5 linked regions of the Callithrix jacchus genome follow. The protein of the gene in region 2 binds, or shares a complex with, the protein of the main gene of each other region. Links are inferred from orthologs where the notes say so. Each region holds a gene or a part of one and is shown on either strand. Other genes may lie near its edges.

Region 1 (4,215 bases), on a different chromosome or scaffold from region 2:
ACTTCATACCTCCACCGTGGACCCAACTGTGTTGTTTGGTCACATTGGAATGACCATCACACCTTGTCTCTTCAACTAGACCATAAGCTACTGAAGACCAGAAAGCCCATTTTAACCATCTCTGTTTTGCAGGATACAGCATAGCGCCTGGCACACAAGGCTCAGGGAATGTTTATGCTGTGAATAAAGTAATCAGAATAGTGAATAAATAATATCTGAAGTGCTTACTTAGTGCCTGGTATTGGGCTGCGCTTTTGTAAAAATTCTCTTTCAATCTTCATGAAAGCCCTAAGGTAGGTCCTATTATTCACCCCACTTTGCAGATAGGGAAACTGATACTCAGAGATGAGGCAGCTTTCCCAGAGTCACATAGCTAGGAAATAGCAATGCCAGCAAGTGCTTATGCCAGGATTCAAATCCAGGTCTCCCTATTCCAGTTCCCTAGTACTCCTTACCACAACACCACAAGTATGTACCTGACTTTCTCCCTTTCCTAGTTGGCAAGCTCCAACTAGGAGCTAGCATAGGACCCAGAACATAATGGGGGATGGGGTGTCAATAAAAGCTTAGTGAATTAGAAATCTTGCAATTTAAGAGGATCATGCATAGTCCTTTTGTGTCATGCAAGCCCAGTTTGGGTCTCTCCCCGTCTCCCCACAAACCCCTGTATCCCAGGTCTCAGCATATGGGGCTAACTCAATGACCCATCCCATAACTTGTTGCAGTCCATCTCTGGTGACCGACCCTCTCTGGGCTATCACCTGGGTTTCGGCCTCAAGCACACGCAGGCGCCGGCTGGCAGAAGACAGCAGGGTCTCAAGCTCCAGCTGCAGGGTGTCCAGCTCCTCAATGCCGATGCCATCGTCCTCAGAGCGTGCCAGCACTGCCGTGTAGCGGGGACAGACCTTCAGGTGATCCACAGACTTGAAATCGTGGAACTGCAAGGGGCAGTCTTTCAACTCACTCATGGCCCAGGATATGGGGATCCTGTGGAGCTGGAGAGGACAGAGCCATTGATGGGGGACAAAATAGTTTGAAAACAAGGGCTTCTTACCTCCAGGGACAGCCTCAAGGAAGCCAGAGTTCAGTCCCTTCCTGACAAGATTGATGGCACAGTTCCTACTCATAGGGCACTTAACTTGTGCCAAGCTAGGTGCAGAGCACTTTATCAGTCTATCTCACTGAACTTCTCGCTCAGCACCATGAACCACTGTGATCTCATTTTTACAGAGAAGGAAACTGAGACTCTGTAAGGGTGGGCATGTGCCTATGCTTCCAAGATGCAATTTGAACCCTGCTAGTCTTGAGTCTGCACCCCTGATCACCATGCTATACTGCTATGCCTTGCCTTTCTGATGCTCTTTCCTTCCCTTCTTTTTCTCTTGGGTTCTGCTAAGACTGAGTTCCAAGCACCCCATTCTTACCAAGTTCTCTGGGACTCAGCCTCTTCTTGCCTCTTCTTGTCCTACCACACTCCACATTTCCCATTTCTCTAGTCACTCACTAATAGTGGTTTAGAACGTGGGCTGGTAAGCCAGACAGACCTGGGTTCAAGCCCAGGCTTTAACATTCTCTATTTATGTGCCCCTGAACATGTTATTTGACCTTTTTTTTTTTTGAGACGGAGTTTCGCTCTTGTTGCCCAGGCTGCAGTGCAATGGCATGATCTTGGGTTACCGCAGCCTCCGCCTCCCGGGTTCAAGCGATTCTCCTGCCTCAGCCTCCCGAGTAGCTGGGATTACAGGCATGCACCACCACACCCGGCTAATTTGTATTTTTAGTAGAGACGGGGTTTCTCCATGTTGGCCTGGATGGTCTCGAGCTCCCAACCTCAGGTGATCCGCCCGCCTCAGCCTCCCAAAGTGCTGGGATTACAGGAGTGAGCCACCGTGCCCGGCCTATTTGATCTTTTTGAGTCTCAGTTTTTCCATCTGTAAAATGGGAACAAAAGAAGTCTTGGTCTGTTTCCCCATTAAAAGTCTGAATCTGAAAAATGGGGATAACAACAGTACCTACCTCCCTGGGATGGTCTGAGGATTAAGAGATGATGCCAGTCAAGAGCCCAGTTCAGTGCCTGGCACAGAAGAAGTGGGACTATTTAATGGCTGGCACCGCCCGGGGGTCGCCCCAGTGTCTTGACTTCAGAGTCCCTGTTATCCACGGACACCTAGCGCGACCCCCGCCCCCTCTACCTCCTCACTGCTGCCTCCTACGGCCCCGAGGCCGCGGGGAGTTCCGGTCGGTGGGAGCAACCGCCCCGGAACTGGCTATGGGCGGGCCCCTTGCAGTTGACGCGGGGGCGGGGAGTCAGCGAGGGCGAGCCTACTGGGATTTGAGGGAAGTAGGGAAAAGGTGGGCCTCGAGCAAGCCCACTAGGGGTTGGGTGCGGGTGGTGGGCCTCAGGCGAGCCCCAGGGCACAGCCCGGGGCGAGGGGCGGGGCTTGGCGGCTGAGATCGCGGCGCCGCAGTTAGCCCCGCCGAACCCCAGGAGCTGCGGGTAGGAGGGGCGAGAGAAAGGATGGGGGCACAGAACCGGAAGAAACGAAGGGCTCCTCCGCTTCAGCTTGTCCTAATTTGGTGCCCAACCTGAGGCTGGGCTGTACCATTGCATGTCTAGGGGGAGGCTGTGGCAAAGGAGACAAGAAGGCAGAAGGGACAAGCGAGAGATGCACGCATACCTGGAGAATCTTGAGTAGTAAACCGTGTACAAGAGTTTAAAAATACCGAGAGAGCCCTAACCGGAAAACTTCCGGGAGGCCCAAGCGTTCTAGGCGCTCCATACCCCGCTCAGAGCATGGATGGTACCGTCCGGAAGTCGGGCGGAGACCTCTGCTGCGCTTCTCGCGAAAGGGCAGGCATCGCGGGGCTGGCCGCTTCCGCACTTCCGCTTTCCGGCCCATCCAGCGCCCGCGATGGTGAGAGAGCCCGGTCCCGAGTTAGGGACCCCCAGCTGTTCAGCCTCAGGGCTGTGGGCCGGTGGGAGATGTGGCTTTGCCGTGGGGGCCCAGGGCCGATGGATGCCGGGGGCTGTGGGGACACGATGAGGGTGGGAGAAAGAGGCGGGGCGGGAGCCCGAGGTGAGGAAGGGGTGAGTGGGGGTATTCGCTGGTATGAAGCGGGCCTTGCTGCTTCACGATCAGCCTTCGAAGCAGGTAGCGACTTTTCCTGAGCCCTGGAGGAAGCCGGAAGTGGGGCCTCCTAGGGCTTGTTGGAGCGTTTTGAGGGTACGTAGTCGGCTTCTTAGCCCGTCGTAGGGCCGCTGAGGCGTGTAGCAAGGCCACCTGCCTATCCACAATGGAGCGTCACTAAACACGCCCTTTGTCCTCTTCTGCCTTCCTGACCCTACAGTTGCTCAAGGCAGGCGGCCACACTTCTTCTGGATGTACCAAGAGTGGGAGAACCACTGTTGGTACCTCCAGCCCAGCTTCCACCCCATTGGAGGATCTCTCGTGTTGCTTCCACTCAGGCCCTTCCTAGTCAGAACAGAACTGTGTCAGCCTTAGTGTTTGCTAGCTGTCATACTGTTCATTCCTTCCTTCCTGGAAGTCTTCCCTTTTCATACATGTGGGCATTCCTGGGATTTGTGACTTTGGATCACCACCTCCCTCTTCGCCACACCCTCCCTGGTGATACTGATCTAGTCTCTTGGCTTCGAAGACCTTTGCATTCTGGTGACTCCTAATCTGGCTTCCCAACTCTCTTTCAGGGTTTGTCTGGATATTTTGAAGCTATATTGAAATTAGATCTCTAGTTCAAAACTCATCTTCCATTCTAAACTTGCTCTTCACCCTGGGTTCCCTATCCTAGCAAACTTTGTGACCTCGTATCTCAGCTAGAAATCTGGATTTTTTTTTTCCTAATGGAGCACAGGTCTCTTGATTTTTAAAAATTCAAGTTTATTGAGGTATTACATGAAACTACATCTGTTTTATTCATGAAGGGACAGGCGTCATGGAGCCAGTCACCCTTTTTAGGTTTACTGTCTATAAGTGTTGACAAAATCTTGCTGGATATGGTGGCATGTGCCTGTAGTGCCAGCTATCAGGAGGCTGAGGCAGGAGGATTGTTTGAGCCGAGAAGTTTGAGGCTGTAGTACACTGTGATCACTCCTGTGAATAGCTACTGCACTTCATCCTGAGCAATATAGAAAGACCCCGTGTTTAAAAAAAAAAAGAAAGCCATGCTGTGTAACCACTACTACAACCAAAATATAGA
Region 2 (3,500 bases):
GGCGGTATGATCTCAGCATTTGAGAAGAAACTGAGGTTCAGAACAGATCATTTGCTACAGTGCACACTGCTACTCAGCGTGGGAACCAGGATTGAAACAGTTTTGTCCACTATGCCACAGTGTTTCACAAAAATGAAGACTATGAGCCAGGCAGGTGGCTCACACCTGTAGTCCCAGAACTTTGGGAGGCCAAGGCAGGCAGATTGCTTGAGCCCAGGAGTTCGAGACCAGCCTGGGCAACATGGAGAAACCCTGTCTCCACAAAAAATAAAAAATTAGCCAGTGTTGTTTCACACACCTATAGTCCTAGGTACTCAGGAGGCTAAGGTGGGAGGATTACTTGAGCCCAGGGATTGGAGTCTGCAGCAGGCCATGATCACACCACTGCATTCCAGCCTAGGCAACAGACTCCATCTCAAAAAACTTTTTTAAAAAAACTATGGAAATATGAAAATAATTTAAAATGTATTGCTTTAAATGATATAGTTAGTAAAAAGGTTTCTTTCAGGCCGGGTTTGGAGACAGGAACATAGCTTGAATCTGGGAGGTGGAGGTTGCAGTGAGCCACCTATAATTCCAGCATTTTGGGAGGTGAAACAGGTGGATCACTTGAGGTCAGGAGTCAGTTCAGCCTGGCCAACATGGTGAAACCCCATCTCTACTAAAAATACAAAAATTATCTGGGCATGGTGGTGGGCACCTGTAATCCCAGCTACTGGGGAGCTGGGAAAGCTGAGGCAGGACAATCACTCAAACCTGGGAGGTGGAGGTTGCAGTGAGCCAAGAAGATTGCACCACTGCAGTAGGTAACAAGGCGACACTTGGGTGACAAGGCGAGATTCTGTCTCAAAAAAAAAAAAAATTTTTTTTTCAAATAAAATCCTGATCTTGTTTGTTCTTTTTTTAGCCATTTTTTATGGCTAAAACAGGAAGTGCCATCCCTTATTTAAAGATTTTACAAGATTTACAAGCAAACAATCATAAAATATTAGATTTTTAACTTTAACTTTATTAGCCCAATACCCTAATTCTACAGATGAGAAAACAAGGCCCAAAGAAATTAAACCAGTCTAGTAACCCAGCCACTCCAGAGCTTTTTTCACTGTTGGGAATGTTAGAATCTTGAGTTAAAGTAAAATTAAGTGAATTTCCGCAAAGATCACAATCTCCTGTGTATTTTCGGTGGAATCAAGATTAGTATAGACTAATGGCAAGTTCACATTCCAAAAGGTCATTTCAGTACCTGATGCTTGTTTGACACTACGAAGCTTTTTGGGTGTTACAGACCACACTCTGACAGTTGAATCTGCAAAACCTCCAGCAATCAGACTAGAATCATCAGTGACATCCACTGCAGTGAGACCCTGCCAATAAAAGTTTTAGACTAAACAATACTATTTTAGGGCATTTAGAGTACAGGAGAGGAAGCAAATGTTAATCATTTTCACACTCTACTAAATATACCCTCAACCCCCATTTTAAGGAATATATTTGTAAAATTCTTGATTTAAAATATTAAGTTTGGCCAGGCACAGTGGCTCATACCTGTAATCCCAGCACTTTGGGAGGCTGAGACAGGTGGACTGCCTGAGCTCAGGAGTTCTAAACCAGCCTGGTCAACATGGCGAAACCCCATCTCTACTAAAAATACAAAAATTAGCTGGACATGGTGGCTCATGCCTGTAATCCGCTATTCAGGAGGCTGAGGCAGGAAAATCACTTAAACAGGGAGGCAGAGGTTGCAGTGAGCCAAGATCGTGCCAGTGTACTCCAGCCTGGGTGTCAGAGGAGATGCCATCTTAAAAAAATACAATCAAATTAAAATATAAAATAAAGTTTACATGGCTGGGCACAGTGGCTCATGCCTGTAATCACAGCACTTTTGGAAGTCCAGGCGGGCAGATCACTTGAGGTCAAAAGTTCAAGACCAGCCTGGGCAACATGGCAAAATCCTGTCTCTACTAAAAATGCAAAACTTTAGCTGGGCATGGTGGCAGGCACCTGTAATCCCAGCTATTCGGGAGGCTGAGGCTGAGGCACGAGAATCACTTGAACCCAGGAGGTGGAAGTTCTGTCTTAAAAAAAATTGATAAATAAGTTTACGTAATTACTTAAACCAAGCTCAAAAGAGATGAACCACAATTTCCTCCTCCTCAAAGGCAAGCGGAATTCTGATCAGTGCAACAAATGCCATTAAACACTGGCTTCTATCTATTCTGTGCAGTATCCAATTCTCTTTTCCTGACTGCTGTCTTTAAATTATATCAAGAGTTTAAATAACAAAACTTCATTTTAGTTAACACATTTATTTCTCTTAATGGTAAATCTCCAGATGACTCTCCAGGTAGAAATCGTCCAATTATTTTACCAACCTGATAAGCATTGAGAAATGTATAGAAACAAATGGAGGGTAAGCAGTCTGGCCCAAGGCGCACTCGTTTGGTGGTTTCTTTCATATTCATTATCTTATCCAACTTATCTGAATCTTTCAACTCAGGAAGAGGGATTCTGTGAAAGAAAAACAGATTCAAAATTACCTTTTGACTATTAACAAACATGAACTCTCTATAACATGTCTTATACCTCCACACACAAGTTCCTGAAGTTTTTTCCTCACCTGTTCTGAGGTGGAGCATTGGGATCTTGTTTTTTGCTTTTGGATCCAATACTATCTTTTTTAGGCTTCTTCTTTTTAGGTTTTCCTTCTTCATTTTCTCCCTCTTCATCCTCGTCATCCAAAGGTACCTCAATTTCTGGCTCTTTTAACAAACCAAAAAATACCTACAAGTCAAAAGAGCCAACATTTTTTAAATTAACTATTTGTTCATTAATATACCCATTTCACATCTTGATAGGATAAATCACAATTACAAAATAGTAATTTATACTCTGAAGCAGGGTTCTGTACTTGTCTACCCAACAGCCATTCACCCCTTTTTCCTTACTAACAGAACCCTGATTTTATTGGAGTAGCAATGTGCTCAGTTAAGTCATTTCTGTTCCCAGGCTCCCTTGCAGCTAGGAATGTCCATATAAGTATATTGGGTACGGTTGTATGAAAAAAATATTGTTTTCCTGATAAAAAATGGAAAGCTTCATCAGAGCTACGCTTTTTGTCCTCCCCCTTCTTCCTTCTTGGAACGGAGCTGCAATGCTGAAACCACAATGACTGGTGAGCACAAAGAAGAAAGCCACATTCTAAAGGTGGTAGACCAGAAACTAGAAGGAGCCAGGGACCTTGATGGCATTGTGGAGCCTTCATGCCAGCCCTGGAAGGCCTTCCTCTGAAATTCATTTTATGGGAGAAAAATTCTTTGTTTCAGCCACTGCATTCAGAGTTCTATAAAATGCAACCATACCCAAATTATCACATATAAACATCACCCTCAGAACACAAAATTTTATATACAGTATAAAACTGTTCCCAAGCTAGCTATAAGAAAAATGTGTAAATTATGTAGATGGAAATGCTACAATTTTTCATAATCTGCATTATAGAG
Region 3 (4,077 bases), on a different chromosome or scaffold from region 2:
TCAGGTGATCCACCCGCCTGGGCCTTACTAGAGTGCTGGGATTAGAGGTGTGAGCCACCACGCCCGGCTGATTTCTTGACTGTTAATACACGTCAGGCACCATAACATACCCTTTCTGTGTATCATCTCATTTTTACCCCGATTTCACAGAAGAGGAAACTAAGGCACACTGAGGATAAGGTCAAGTGCCCGAAGTCCCATAGCTGTCTAGTGTTAGGATCCAAGCCCAGCGTCTTCGTCCTTCCAGGTACCTGCAAATGGGAACGAATACGGCGCAGCCAGAGGGGCTGACAAGCAAGGGCAGCCGTGGGCACCCCACACCCTGGGAGTGAGGCGGCAAGGAACAACCCCCCCCCCAACAGCCACAGGCTCGCCCTGCAAATACTTGCGGGTCGAGGGCGCGAAGGCAGCAGGATGCAGCCATAGACTTGGACTAGGTGGTCCAGGCTCTACTTCCAAGCGGGCCATTGATTGACAGGCTGAGCGGCCCTCAGCACAATATAATGAGGCTGGATGCTCCAGGGTTTCCCAACATTAACCACTCAGGAGAATCACCTGGGGATCTCCTTAATAAGAAAGATTCCAAGCCCCTCTTCCAGAGAGTTAAGTCACTGGGAATTGGCTGGGCACGGTCAGGTGTTGCCAATAATCAGACAAGTTTATAAAACCCTGCGGGTGTAGATGACCTCCTGGGTCCTTCCAGGAGTGTACTCTTTTTAAGAAATGATTTTCATATTAAAAGATTTCTTTTAACTCAGTGAAATAGAGAGCTTGTTTTCACTGTCCACAACCAAGCCACTGAAGGCCCTGAACACTTCGCTCTCAAAAGGTCACGTGAGGCAGGCTTGGTGTCTCACGCCTGTAATCCCAGGACTTTGGGAGGCCGAGGCCGCGGATTGCTTGAGCCCAGGAATCTTAGACAAGCCTGGCCAACATGGAGAAACCCGGTCTCTACTAAAAATACAAAAATTAGCTGGGCATGTTGGTCCCCGCCTGTAATCCCAGCTACTCCGGAGGCTGAGGCGCGAGGATCGCTTGAGCCGGTGAGGTGGAGGTTGCAGTGGGCCAAGATCGCGCCATTGCACCCTCTAGCCTAGGAGACAGAATCTCTGTCCTGTCTCCCAACCCCAACCCCCGCCAAAAAAAAAAAAAAAGTCACGTGAGCCGGGGTTACCGGCGGCGTCCAGTAACCCACCGAGCTTCGCAAAACCTAGAGGGGCGCATACCACCCCGCCCCGCCCCGCGACTACAAGTCCCATCCCGCCCTGCGCTCGCGCACACTACGCCAGAGCAAGATGGCCGACGCGGCGGCCACAGCTGGGGCCGGCGGCTCCGGAACGGTAAGGGCAGGAGGCGCGTGCTGGAGCCGAAAGAGTTTGGGTATTCTGAAGCTTTCCCCTAGACTGAGCCACAAGCGAATCCCCAGAAATCCAGCCCCACCATGAGGTCCTATTGGCGGAGGGTCTTTCAGGCCTTACGCACCCCCCTCCCTGGGACTTGGCTGCGGCCTCCGGAGTTGGCGGACCTGTGTCTTGATTGGCTCGTTTGCTGTTGGGGGTTGGGAACCCGGAATACCCCCTGATTGGTCTGAAAATGCCGTTTTCGCTTTCTTATTGGCCGGCCAAAGTTGAAAGGGATTCCCTTTTCAAAATATTTAGCTTTCTTACATTTTCGTGCTGTTATCTTTTGCTCTTCTCTCCTCGCCGTCACCTCTTATTATGTTTTCAATTTCCCTTTCAATGAAATGGTGTGAAGATGGGGGGCACAAGAGAGGGATCCTGTTTTTTCTGGGGGGACAGATCTATTCAATCCCATCATGCGTGTTTCTCCAGCTATATATTCTAATGGTATGCTAAAGTAGAAGATAAAAGTCCTACTATTTTATCTTATTGGGACCGTACGTTTTAGGTAGGCAGAAGAGTAGTCTCTGTATTTAAAGCACCTTGGGTGCTCAATTATTACTCAGTTGGCCAAGATCTGTAAATCTAAACGTTAAGCACCGATTTTTAAAATAAAAGTATTTAGTAAAAGCACTTTTGCCTTGCCACTGACCATGTGTGAACTCTGTGATTGCATCCTTCTCCTGGATGAAAATCTCTCTGGGCTGCTGATTCACAGAGATCGGGAAGTAAACAGTCCACTAACCCTGCCGATAACTATCATCTGGCCCGGAGGAGAACCCTGCAAGTGGTTGTGAGCTCCTTGCTGACAGAGGCCGGGTTTGAGAGTGCTGAGAAAGCATCCGTGGAAACATTGACAGAGATGCTGCAGAGCTGTGAGTCCGTGGAAACATTAGTCCTTTTTCCAATCAACCCCAGCATCAGTTTTGTGCCCTGCTTTACGATCGTGTTTGAGAGGATTTAAGAAAAAGAAGATCAACTTTTTTCTTAAGAGGGGAGAAAAAAAATGTTTTTAATGTAAAAAGTTGAAAAAAGAAAAAAGCATAATGGGCCTGGCGTGGTGGCACACACCTGTAATCCCGGCATTTTGGGAGGCCAAGGCAGGTGGGTCACCTGAGGTCAGGAGTTCAAGACCAGCCTGGCCAAGATGGCGAAACCTCATCTCTAATAAAAAATAATAAAAATTAAAAATTAGCTGAACATGGTGTTAGTTGGGTGCCTTAATCCCAGCTACTCAGGAGACTAAGGCAGGAGAATCACTTGAATCTGGGAGGTGGAGGTTGCAGTGAGCCGAGATTATGGCACTGCACTCCAGCCTGGCAATAGAGCAAGACTCCATCTCCAAAAACAACGAAAGAAAGAAAGAAAGAAGAGCATAATGAAGTGACTTACAGGCTTCAGAATCAGATAGACCTGAGTGTACATCATCACTCTGTCACTTAATAGCTTGGGCAAGCCACTGAACCTCCTGAACCTCAATTTCCTCATTTTTGAAATGGGATAACACTTTGTACCTCATGGAGTTGTGAGTGTGAGATGTGTATATAAAACATTCAATGCTGGGGAGATTGTAAGCTCTTAGTGAGTTGTGGATGCCCTTAAAGACTTTTGTTGGGGAGTCAGGACTAATTCCTTATGCAATAGATAACATCACATTATGTAATCAAATGCTAGATTATGTAATACAAAGAACAAGGGATAAAGCCACTTTTTTTTTTTTTTTTTTTTTTGAGACGGAGTCTGTTGCCCAGGCTGGGGCGCAGTGGCACAATCTCAGTCAGTTCACCGTAGCCTCCCACTCCTGGGTTCAAGCAGTTCTCCTGCCTCAGCCTCCTGAGTAGCTGGGATCACAGGCGTGCACCACCATGCCCAACTCATTTTTGTATTTTTAGTAAAGATGGTGTTTCACCATGTTGGCCAGGCTGGTCTCGAACTCCTGACCTCAGGTGATCTGTCCACCTTAGACTCCCAAAGTGCTGAGATTACAGGCATGAGCCACTGCGCCTGGCCAAAAAGCTGCTTTTAAAAGCAACGTGTTGAGATTTAGAAGCCCAACATTGTCTCACATAGGCTATTCTGCATGTACAACATATTTCCCTGTTTTGAACTTTTGGGGGATGGGATCTGATGAGGGATGGAAGTATTTACAGTGTTTCTTAGGGATCAACAACTATGAAAGGAAGTAGGAGAAAGGTTTGGGGAGAGGGAGATGTGGAGTGCAGTGCAGGCCCAACAAAGAATGGACAACTCAGCCAGGACCCCTGGAGCATTATTGCCCATCAAGCTGAAAGGGCTCTGCCTTTATACTCAGGATTTGATCAAACACTGATGTGGGCTACCCCAGGAAGGGTGATCTTGGGCAAGGTGGCTCTCTGCAGCTGATGTCAGGCACTTTTACATACCAAATGTTTCCCTAAAGCAGTGATCTCAAACATTTCAGCCTCAGAACTATATTTATTTATTCTTTTAGAGATGGGGTCTTGCTATGTTGCCCAGGCTGGCCTCAAACTTCTGGGCCCAAGCCTCTCACATAGCTGGGATTACAGGCATGTGCTACCATGCCCAGCTCTCAGAATCCTTTTCTATTAATAAACATTGAGGACCCCAAGTAGCTTTTGTATATGTGTATTTGCCACATTAGAAAATAAAACAAATTTTGAAAATAAGAATGTACAAT
Region 4 (4,252 bases), on a different chromosome or scaffold from region 2:
GGACTGGAGTGCAGTGGTGCGATCATGGCTTATTGTAACCTCTGCCTCCTGGGTTTAAACAATTCTGTCTTCACTTCCTGAGTAGCTGGGATTACAGGCATGCGCCACCAGGCCTGACTAATTTTTTTTTGTATTTTTAGTAGAGACTGGGCTTCACCATATTGGCCAGGCTGGTCTCAAACTACTGACCTTGTGATCTGCCTGCCTCGGCCTCCCAGAGTGCTGGGATTACAGAACTGCGCACAGCCCAGGTTGCAAACTTTTTAAGAACCAGGATATCATCCGTCTTAGACACCAGTTATGTACTCAGGACATAGCAAAAGGCTTGGCACACAAGACTCAATAAACACTTGTCAAATGATTCAATCTGGGTCTTAAAAAAGAGGTATAGGTGTTCAATAACAAAAAGTGGAATGCCAGACCCTAAAAAGAATGGAGAGCAGTGGCAGGGAAATAAGGCTAGGAATACAGCTTGGAGCCCAATGTTCATGAGGACTTGAATCTGAGAATTTGGATTGGGTGGCAGTGAAGAGCGTGGATTGGGAGTGTGGTAGGATGATTCGGAAGATATAAAGACAGGGGAGGATGCCGCACCAATTTGGGCAGCTCTTTGTGATTCCTGCTGGCAGATACTGTGGCTTACTCTGGGCTGTCACAGCTCTTTATAAATTTTTTGGTGTTTGTGGGTTCTTCTCCGACTTACTGTGAACCTCACAGATGCTGGAATTGTGAGGCATGCTTGCATGCCTAACATTCCAGTCTGGCAACAAGTAAAAAAAATACAGCAGTTCTCACCAAGCATTTGACAACTGAAAAACTGAAAGCACTAGAGATTGCTACAGGACAGGCTCTGGCGTAGGAGTGAGTTCTGAGTTCAAGCTGAGGCTCTGCACTTATTAGCTAGAACTTTTCTTAATCACTCACAGGTCTCCTCTGATTAAATGTCGTAACGGAGGAGGTAAGCGGATTAGCATAATTCCTGGCAAACAGTAAGCATTCAACTGTATTGTTGAATTGATAGTTCACAAGCACAACCAACCGATTTCTCTCGTCTCCCAGTTCTTGTGCTGCCAACTTCCTCGTTGAGGTCCAACAGGATATCTATAGGGTAATGTGTCCCAGATGATATCCCGGTCCTGACACCATGACAAAGACAACAACCAAAAATGGCGACCTCAAAGCCATCTGAGGGCGTCAATTACCCGTCCTGCTACCGATAGATAAATAAGCAGGGTCAGTTAGAGAAGCTAGTGAAGGATTCTTAACGCTGGGGTGGAATACGCAGAGCTCACTCACGTTGCCACTCAATCACAAGCAGTTAAAACCGCAAGCTGCAGAGTCTAGCTACATACAGCCCAATACAGCCACCACGTGTCGGAGGGCAGTCTGCGCCTGCGCTAGCGAGGCGCGCGCCCGCCTGCCGGAAGAGCCGCGCGTTTCCGGGTTGGAGGCGGGGAGCGGTGCCGGAAGTAGTCGGGGAGGGCCGCGCAGTCGGACCGGCTGCTGAGACGAACGCTACATTGGGGCAGTCTCCGCATATCATGGGGAGATAGACGCTGCTGCCTGTGAGTCTTGGGCCCTGGCAGTTGAGGAACAAGAGCGGGAGGAGGGAGTCAGGACCCAGACCTACAGTAGGTCAGTGTTCGAAGGTCCAGGTTGTGAACGAGATGGGGCTGTGAGGATTCAGGTTCTCGGGAAGGGACCTACTGAGAGGATCGGGCTCGGAGAAGACGCGGCTCTGGGGACCCGGGCTCTAGATGGGACTTAGGGAACGGGAATGGATGTGAGTTCTCCAGCATCTGAGGGAAAGCGGTCTGAGAGGAACAGGATTATGAGAACCGGCACTCCTAAGAGGAGAGGGTCGTAAGTGAATGGGGCGTGAAGACGGGCTCCGGAGTGGTAAAAGTGGAGCGGTGAGGACTTGGGCTCCTAAGAGGCAGAAGCGGGACAGTGAAGACCCGGGCTCCTAAGGATTCAGAAACGGGGCAGCGAAGACTTAGGTTCCTGAGGGGCAGAAGCAGACAGCGAAAACTTGAGTTTGGAAGGGAACAGAAGCGGACAGTGAAGGCTGGAGCTTCTGTGGGGATGGGATCCGGGCTTTGAGACTCCGAGTTCCTGAGTCTCAGAACAGGGCTGTGAGCACCAGAGCTCCTAAAAGCCTTGGATCTAAGGGACCATGGATGTGAGATCAGCCTACAAAGTAAAGGGAAAGGGCTTGGAAAAGATTCAGTGATCCATTTTTTTCTCGTATTCTCTGAACCCAGAGGGATAAAGGACATATCAGGGGAAGACAACTTCTCCTTCGCACTGCCTTTTTGGCTCTTGGCAGGCTTTTCTTGTGTCAGATACTCAATCTAGGAAGCCCACATGCAAACATCTTCATTTTCTGCTTCATTCTTGGGAATCAGATGTGAAGTTGAAAACAGTTGAAACTCAGTTATATACTTAGTAAGTGCTTTAAATCCCATTCCACTCAACCCTGAATGATCACAGAACTCTGCGTCTCAAATTAAAGAGTGTCAGTGATGGAAGGGTCCCAAAAGATCATCTCTTAAAAACTCCTATTTTACATTTAAAGAAGCTAAGTTTCAAAGAGACTTAGATCACAGTGAGGCAATGGTTAGTTAGATCATAATTTTAATACAGTACCCTGCTATATGTAGCAAATGAGATGCTTGGTTAATGTGCCTTAAATAAATGCTTCTAGAATGTTTGCTTTATCTTCAAGCTCAGGAGGAAATTTTTTTTTTTAAGGCAGGGTCTCTGTCACCCAGGCTGAAGTGCAGTGGCTCAGTCTTGGCCATGCACCCTCAACTTCTGTCTCAAGCAATCTTCCCACCTATACCTCGTGAGCAGCTTGAACTACAGGCATGTACCACCATGCCCTGTTAATTTTTAAATTTTTTGTAGAGACAGGGTCTCACTATATTGCCCAGGCTGGTCTCAAACTCCTAGGTGCAAGCGATCCCCTCCCACCTTGGCCTCCCAAAGTGCTGAGATTACAGGCATGAGTCACCTTGCCCCCTCCTCCAGTTTTGTTTGTTTTTGAGACAGAGTCACCCAGGCTGGAGTGCAGTGGCAAGATCTCGGCTCACTGCAATCTCTGCCTTCCTGGTTCAAATGATTCTTCTGCCTCAGCCTACGGAGTAGCTGGAATTACAGGTGTGTGTTGCAACGCCCGGCTAATTTTTGTATTTTCAGTAGAGATGGGGTATTGCCATGTTGGTCAGGCTGTCTTGAACTCCTGCCACCACCATCAGCCTCCCAAAGTGCTGGGATATAGGCGTGAGCCACTGTGCCTGGCCCAGTTTTTATTGAATGTTGTTAATGTATTGACATCAATATAGTGAATGTCACTTAATAGTGAGGAAATCTTTTTTTTTATTTTTCTATTTTTGAGACAGGGTCTTGTTCTGTTGCCCAGATTGGAGTACAGTGGCATCATCATGGTTTGCTGCAACCTATATTCTTGGGCTCAAGCACTCCTCCTGTGTCAGCCTCCCAGGTAGGTGGGACTATAGGCATGAGCCACCACACCCAGCTAATTTTTTTTTTTTTTTTGAGACAGTCTCTGTTGCCCAGGCTGGAGTGCAATGGTGCAGTCTCAGCTCATTACAACCTCTGCCTCCTGGGTTTGAGCAATTCTCCTGCCTTAGCCTCCCGAGTAGCTGGGATTATAGGTGCCCGCCACCACCTGTGGCTAATTTTTGTATTTTTAGTAGAGATGGGGTTTCACCATGTTGGCTAGGCTGGTCCCGAACTCCTGACCTTGTGATCCGCCCACCTCAGCCTCCCAAATTGCTGAGATTACAGGGGTGAGCCACCGCACTGGACGGCACCCAGTTAATTTTTTAATTTTTTTAATAGAGACAGTGTTTGGCTGTGTTGCCTAGGTTGATGTTGAATTTTTGGCCTCAAGTGATCCTCCCGCCTTGGCCTCCCAAAATATTGGGATTATAGGCATGAGCTACTACTGCACCTGGCTGGAACCTTCAAATAAAGCTCAGTGTTATTTGTTTATTTAACAAGCCGTTTGGAAAGTCATAAATAAGTGTGTCCTATATTTTTAATAGAAGCATTTATTAGAGATGGCCACTTTTGGGTAAGGATGGTGGGGAGACTTGCACTAGTCACTTCCTTCAATATGACTATCTTTTTCTGAAACCTACTCAGATTAACTAAGCACAGCTTAAGCACTTTCAAGTATTGTATGATTTAATTATCACAGCCCCACAAGTTAGATATTGTCAGT
Region 5 (4,155 bases), on a different chromosome or scaffold from region 2:
GACTGATACAATTAGGTGATTAAGTCTGTGTTTAAAAAGGCTGACAGGTCAGGGGAGAAGAGTGGGACACGGAGGTGAAAAGAGACAGAGATGAGGACTACGTCATGAGAGTATCATGACCACCTTTCCTGACTTTACGTTTCTTCCCTCAAGAATCCAGGGAAGAAACGTGAAGTCAGGAGGGCAGCAAACTAGGGGATCAGGGCCAGCTCTGAAGTGCCCCCTTTCTCAACTGGGCCCCACACTAGTGCAGCTACGGAAAGTGCTGCTTGCTGAAAAATCCACATAGTACACACCGTCTGCAAAGTCTCACCCGGATGGGGAACCTCCCCTAGTCGTGTGGCCTCCTGTTGTTTTTGAGCTTGAAGGGCAGAATTACTCACCCTCAAACCCCGTCAGGGGTCGTGGGGCCTGTAATTTGGGAGCGTCTATGCTAGGGTGGGGCAGCAGATGTCCACAAGGCCTGAGCCTCACAGAGCTCCTGCAGCCTCTGCAGATTAAGGTCTGGTGACGGGAAACACGCACTGAAGATGCTCTAAAGTTGGCAGTCCAGGGCCAATGGTCCCTGAACTACAATTCCCACAATCCATTGGGGGGGGGCGGGGGGGTCCAAGTCAACCAAAAAAATGCAGGCTCTCTTTGAATGCCTCCTGGGAAGTGCAGTGCCATAGCTTTGGGGCGGCACTACACGTTTGCTTCCTTGACCCCATCCATTCAAATTCAGCCAAGCTCCACCAGAACCTCCCTCAAGCTTTCAAGGAGTTCAGGTGACCCACCCAATACAGTCCAAGAGGTCCGGCCTAGAAGAAGGAGGTGTGGCCGGGCGATGCCAACAGGGGCTACCCCCTTCAGATACCTTCGCATTTGCTGGGCAAACGTTCTGTGTCATCGTCCTCTTCCTTCGGCTTCCCAGCCCAAGCCCCGTGCACGGCCAAAAGGAAAAGCAATATTCCCAACCACATAGGTCCCATGACAAAGCGCCATCCACAAACAACCATCGCTTGCTTTCAAACCAACTTCGGGAAGGCAGTGGGTCCTTTAAATGCCCAGGCGGCTGGCGGCAACCTTAAATCCAGCCTGGCAAGGTCGGCGCACGAGCAGAATCAGCTCGGTAGGGGGCGGGGCCTCATTGCTCTGAGTTTCTCCGCCTCCGTTTTGTGGCGCCTCTTCAAGGTCCTGGCAGCCGGGTAGTGAAGGAATAATTTGCAGTAATTCAACCAAGACGGAATTCTTCTTATATGTAGATGTTTAAACAAAATTTTAAAATATAATTTCATTCCGTGAGTCCAGAGAACGTATTCTGGCACGGGGAAGCGGTAGCGATTTGGACTTCCGCTCTGCCAGGACCTGCTCCTAGGAGGGGGCGGGGCCAAGATGGCGCCCAGCGCCGGGTGAGCGGCGTCTTGGCGGCGGCCAGAGTTTTCCTGCTCCCAGCGTTCGGCTGGCGGGGGCGGGTCTGAGTGGTACTCTGGAGGAGACCCTTTGAAGGTCCCTTGTGGGGACTAGAAACAAGACGGTTGGTTGTGTGTCCGTGCTCGTGGGGACCCCGTGTGTGTGTCTGCATTGGAGAGATGTTGCAGGAGATGAGGTGGGCTCTCTGAGCCTCCTTTCGCGCTCCCCGGGGATTTTCGACCTGCTTCTCTGCTGGGATCCCGCTCAAGTTAATCCTCCCCTGGGACGCCTTCCTGCCGCCTCCACTGATCTGAGGAGATCCTGTGACTGTAGCGTGTTTTATGAGCCTTTACTGACAGAGGGTACCGCCGGGTATTGAAGGATTCGTAAGAGTTCGCCAGGGAAGTGGGACACGACCGCCTCTTATAAACGCGGCGCCAGGCACAGAGTATGTCTCGAATAATTGTGTTCCCTATAGATAAGACTTTAAAAAGTTGGGGAGGAGACCAGGGATGGTTTGAAAAGAACCAGTTTCTTCTTCGGCCTCCCTCTTCCCATCCTTCCAGCACAGCCCCACCCTACCACCTGTACTATTCCTGAACAGTATTGATGTTAATCTTCCTAATGTCCAGCTCCAGTGTGCCACTTGACTTTTTTTTTTTTTTCCTTGAGACAGGGTTTCTGTCTGTTGCCCACGCTGCTATGGAACTCCTAGGCTCAAGTGATCCTCCCACCTCAGCCTCTTAAGTAGCTGGGATGACAGGTCCACCATGCCAGGCTAATTTTTCAATTTTTTGCAGAGATGGGGGTCTCACTATGTTAAGCAAGCTGTTTCAAACTCCCATCCTCAAGTGATCCACCTTCCTCTGTCTCCCAAAGTGCTGGGATTACTGGAGTGAGCTACCTTGCTTGGCTCCATTTTGTTGTTTTTTTAAGACTGGAGTCTCCCTCAGGCGCCCAGGCTGGAGTGCAGTGACATGATCTCGGTTCACTGTAACCTCTACCTCCTGGGTTCAAATGGTTCTCCCACCTCAGCCTCCCAAGTAGCTGGGACTACAGGTGGCCACCCCCATGTTCTGCTAATTTTTGTGATTTTACAAAAAAATGGGATCTTGCCACGTTGACCAGGGTGGTCTTGAACTCCTGACCTCTGGTGATCTTCCCACCTCGGCCTCCCAAATTGCAGGCGTGAGCCACTGCACCTGGTCTACTTTGCTTTTAACTGCAGTGTAGGCTCGAAGTTTGGACCTGTGACATATTTTCTTAATAACAGCAATAACTAGTAGTTACCGAGTACCAACATCTCTAAACCTTACAACTAATTCATCTACTTAACAAATATTTATGATGTCCCAGGCTGGGATCCTGGAATACATTAGTGAACATAATAAAGTGCCCTGTCAGCTGGGCATGATGGCTCACGCCTGTAATCCCAGCACTTTGGGAGGCCGAGGCAGGCGGATCACCAGAGGTCAGGAGTTCGAGACCAGCCTGAGGAACATGGCGAAACCCCATCTATACTAAAAATACAAAAATTAGGCCGAGCACGGTGGCTCATGCCTGTAATCCCAGCTACTCGGGAGGCTGAGGCAGGAGAATCACTTGAACCCACGAGGCAGAGGTTGCAGTGAGCCGAGATTGCGCCACTGCACTCCAACCTGGCGCCTGGCGACAGAGCAAGACTCTGTCTCAAAAAAAAAAGAAAATAGGAAAATTAGCCTGCTGTGCTGGCACATGCCTGTAATACCAGCCACTTGGGAGGCTGAGGCAGGAGAATCGCTTGAACCCGGAAGGCAGAGGTTGCAGTGAGCCAAGATCGCACCACTGCACTCCAGCCTAGGCAACAGGAGTGAATTCCATCTCAAAAAAATAAAAAGCAAATAAAGAGCCCTGTCTATATGGTGTGTGGTGGGGGTAATAAACAATAAGAAACGATACAACGAATTAGAAGGTTTTTTTGTTTTTTTGAGATGGAGTCTCACTTTGTTGCCAGGCTGGAGTACAGTGGCTCACTGCAACCTCTGCCTCCTGGGTTCAAGTGATTCTCCTGCCTCAGCCTCCCAAGTAGCTGGGACTATAGGCACATGCCACCACGCCCAGCTAATTTTCATATTTTTAGTAGAGACAGGGTTTCACCATGTTGGCCAGGATGGTGTCAATCTCTTGACCTTGTGATCTACCCGCCTTGGCCTTTCAAAGTGCTGGGATTACAGGCGTGAGCCATTGCACCCAACCCAGATGTTAAATGCTATAGAAAAGAAAAAGTGGCATTCATTCAAAAAAAGAAAAGAAAAAGTGGGCTGCTCCCACTCTGAGGGCAGAGTGCAGAGTTAAATAGGGTGGTCAGGGCAGACAGGCAATCAGGCATTCTGGAAGAACATTCCAGGCAGAGGGAATGGAGTAAAGGCTATTAGACAAGAGTATGCCTGGCAAGTTGAAGGGGCAGCCTGAAGGAATATGTGTCTGGATCAAAGTGGAAGCAGGAAGGAAAGGCAGTCAGAGATGTAATGGGAGAAGGCAAATTTTGAAGGGCTTTGTAGGACATTAAAAGGATTTTATCTTCTTTTTCTTTTTTCTTTTTTTTTTTTTTGAGAAGGAGTCTTGCTCTGTCACCCAGGCTGGAGTACAGTGACATGATCTTTGCTCACTGCAACCTCTGCCTCTCGGGTTCAAGTGATTCTCCTGCCTCAACCTCCCTAGTAGCTGCAATTATAGGCGTCCGCCACCATACCCATCTAATTTTTGTATTTTTAGTAGCGATAG

What was found. The genes of interacting proteins can lie anywhere in the genome.
Region 1: TAF5 (region 2) and TADA3 share a complex: the UniProt entries of both Homo sapiens proteins name them as parts of the TFTC-HAT complex. The link is inferred for Callithrix jacchus from reciprocal best matches to the Homo sapiens genes TAF5 and TADA3.
Region 3: TAF5 (region 2) and TAF8 share a complex: the UniProt entries of both Homo sapiens proteins name them as parts of the TFIID basal transcription factor complex. The link is inferred for Callithrix jacchus from reciprocal best matches to the Homo sapiens genes TAF5 and TAF8.
Region 4: TAF5 (region 2) and TAF12 share a complex: the UniProt entries of both Homo sapiens proteins name them as parts of the TFIID basal transcription factor complex. The link is inferred for Callithrix jacchus from reciprocal best matches to the Homo sapiens genes TAF5 and TAF12.
Region 5: TAF5 (region 2) and TAF6 share a complex: the UniProt entries of both Homo sapiens proteins name them as parts of the TFIID basal transcription factor complex. The link is inferred for Callithrix jacchus from reciprocal best matches to the Homo sapiens genes TAF5 and TAF6.

The regions. Positions count from the first base shown.
Region 1 is NC_133516.1:66,954,079-66,958,293, forward strand, and holds the start of TADA3 (transcriptional adapter 3), read right to left. Parts: upstream 2,801-4,215; 5' UTR 2,679-2,800; intron 2,580-2,678; exon of another isoform or gene 2,534-2,579; intron 2,521-2,533; exon of another isoform or gene 2,017-2,520; intron 996-2,016; 5' UTR 969-995; coding exon 762-968; intron 1-761. Other genes in the region: ARPC4 (actin-related protein 2/3 complex subunit 4), read left to right, coding at 3,111-3,224. UniProt on the Homo sapiens protein: Functions as a component of the PCAF complex. The PCAF complex is capable of efficiently acetylating histones in a nucleosomal context. The PCAF complex could be considered as the human version of the yeast SAGA complex.
Region 2 is NC_133513.1:96,365,799-96,369,298, reverse strand, and holds part of TAF5 (transcription initiation factor TFIID subunit 5), read right to left. Parts: intron 2,782-3,500; coding exon 2,618-2,781; intron 2,509-2,617; coding exon 2,373-2,508; intron 1,365-2,372; coding exon 1,244-1,364; intron 1-1,243. UniProt on the Homo sapiens protein: The TFIID basal transcription factor complex plays a major role in the initiation of RNA polymerase II (Pol II)-dependent transcription.
Region 3 is NC_133505.1:50,549,702-50,553,778, forward strand, and holds the start of TAF8 (transcription initiation factor TFIID subunit 8), read left to right. Parts: upstream 1-1,277; 5' UTR 1,278-1,295; coding exon 1,296-1,340; intron 1,341-2,118; coding exon 2,119-2,275; intron 2,276-4,077. UniProt on the Homo sapiens protein: The TFIID basal transcription factor complex plays a major role in the initiation of RNA polymerase II (Pol II)-dependent transcription.
Region 4 is NC_133508.1:65,310,759-65,315,010, reverse strand, and holds the start of TAF12 (transcription initiation factor TFIID subunit 12), read left to right. Parts: upstream 1-1,452; 5' UTR 1,453-1,635; intron 1,636-1,918; exon of another isoform or gene 1,919-2,448; intron 2,449-3,054; exon of another isoform or gene 3,055-3,162; intron 3,163-3,404; exon of another isoform or gene 3,405-3,509; intron 3,510-4,252. UniProt on the Homo sapiens protein: The TFIID basal transcription factor complex plays a major role in the initiation of RNA polymerase II (Pol II)-dependent transcription.
Region 5 is NC_133503.1:13,465,391-13,469,545, forward strand, and holds the start of TAF6 (transcription initiation factor TFIID subunit 6), read left to right. Parts: upstream 1-1,355; 5' UTR 1,356-1,840; intron 1,841-4,155. Other genes in the region: CNPY4 (protein canopy homolog 4), read right to left, coding at 857-889. UniProt on the Homo sapiens protein: The TFIID basal transcription factor complex plays a major role in the initiation of RNA polymerase II (Pol II)-dependent transcription.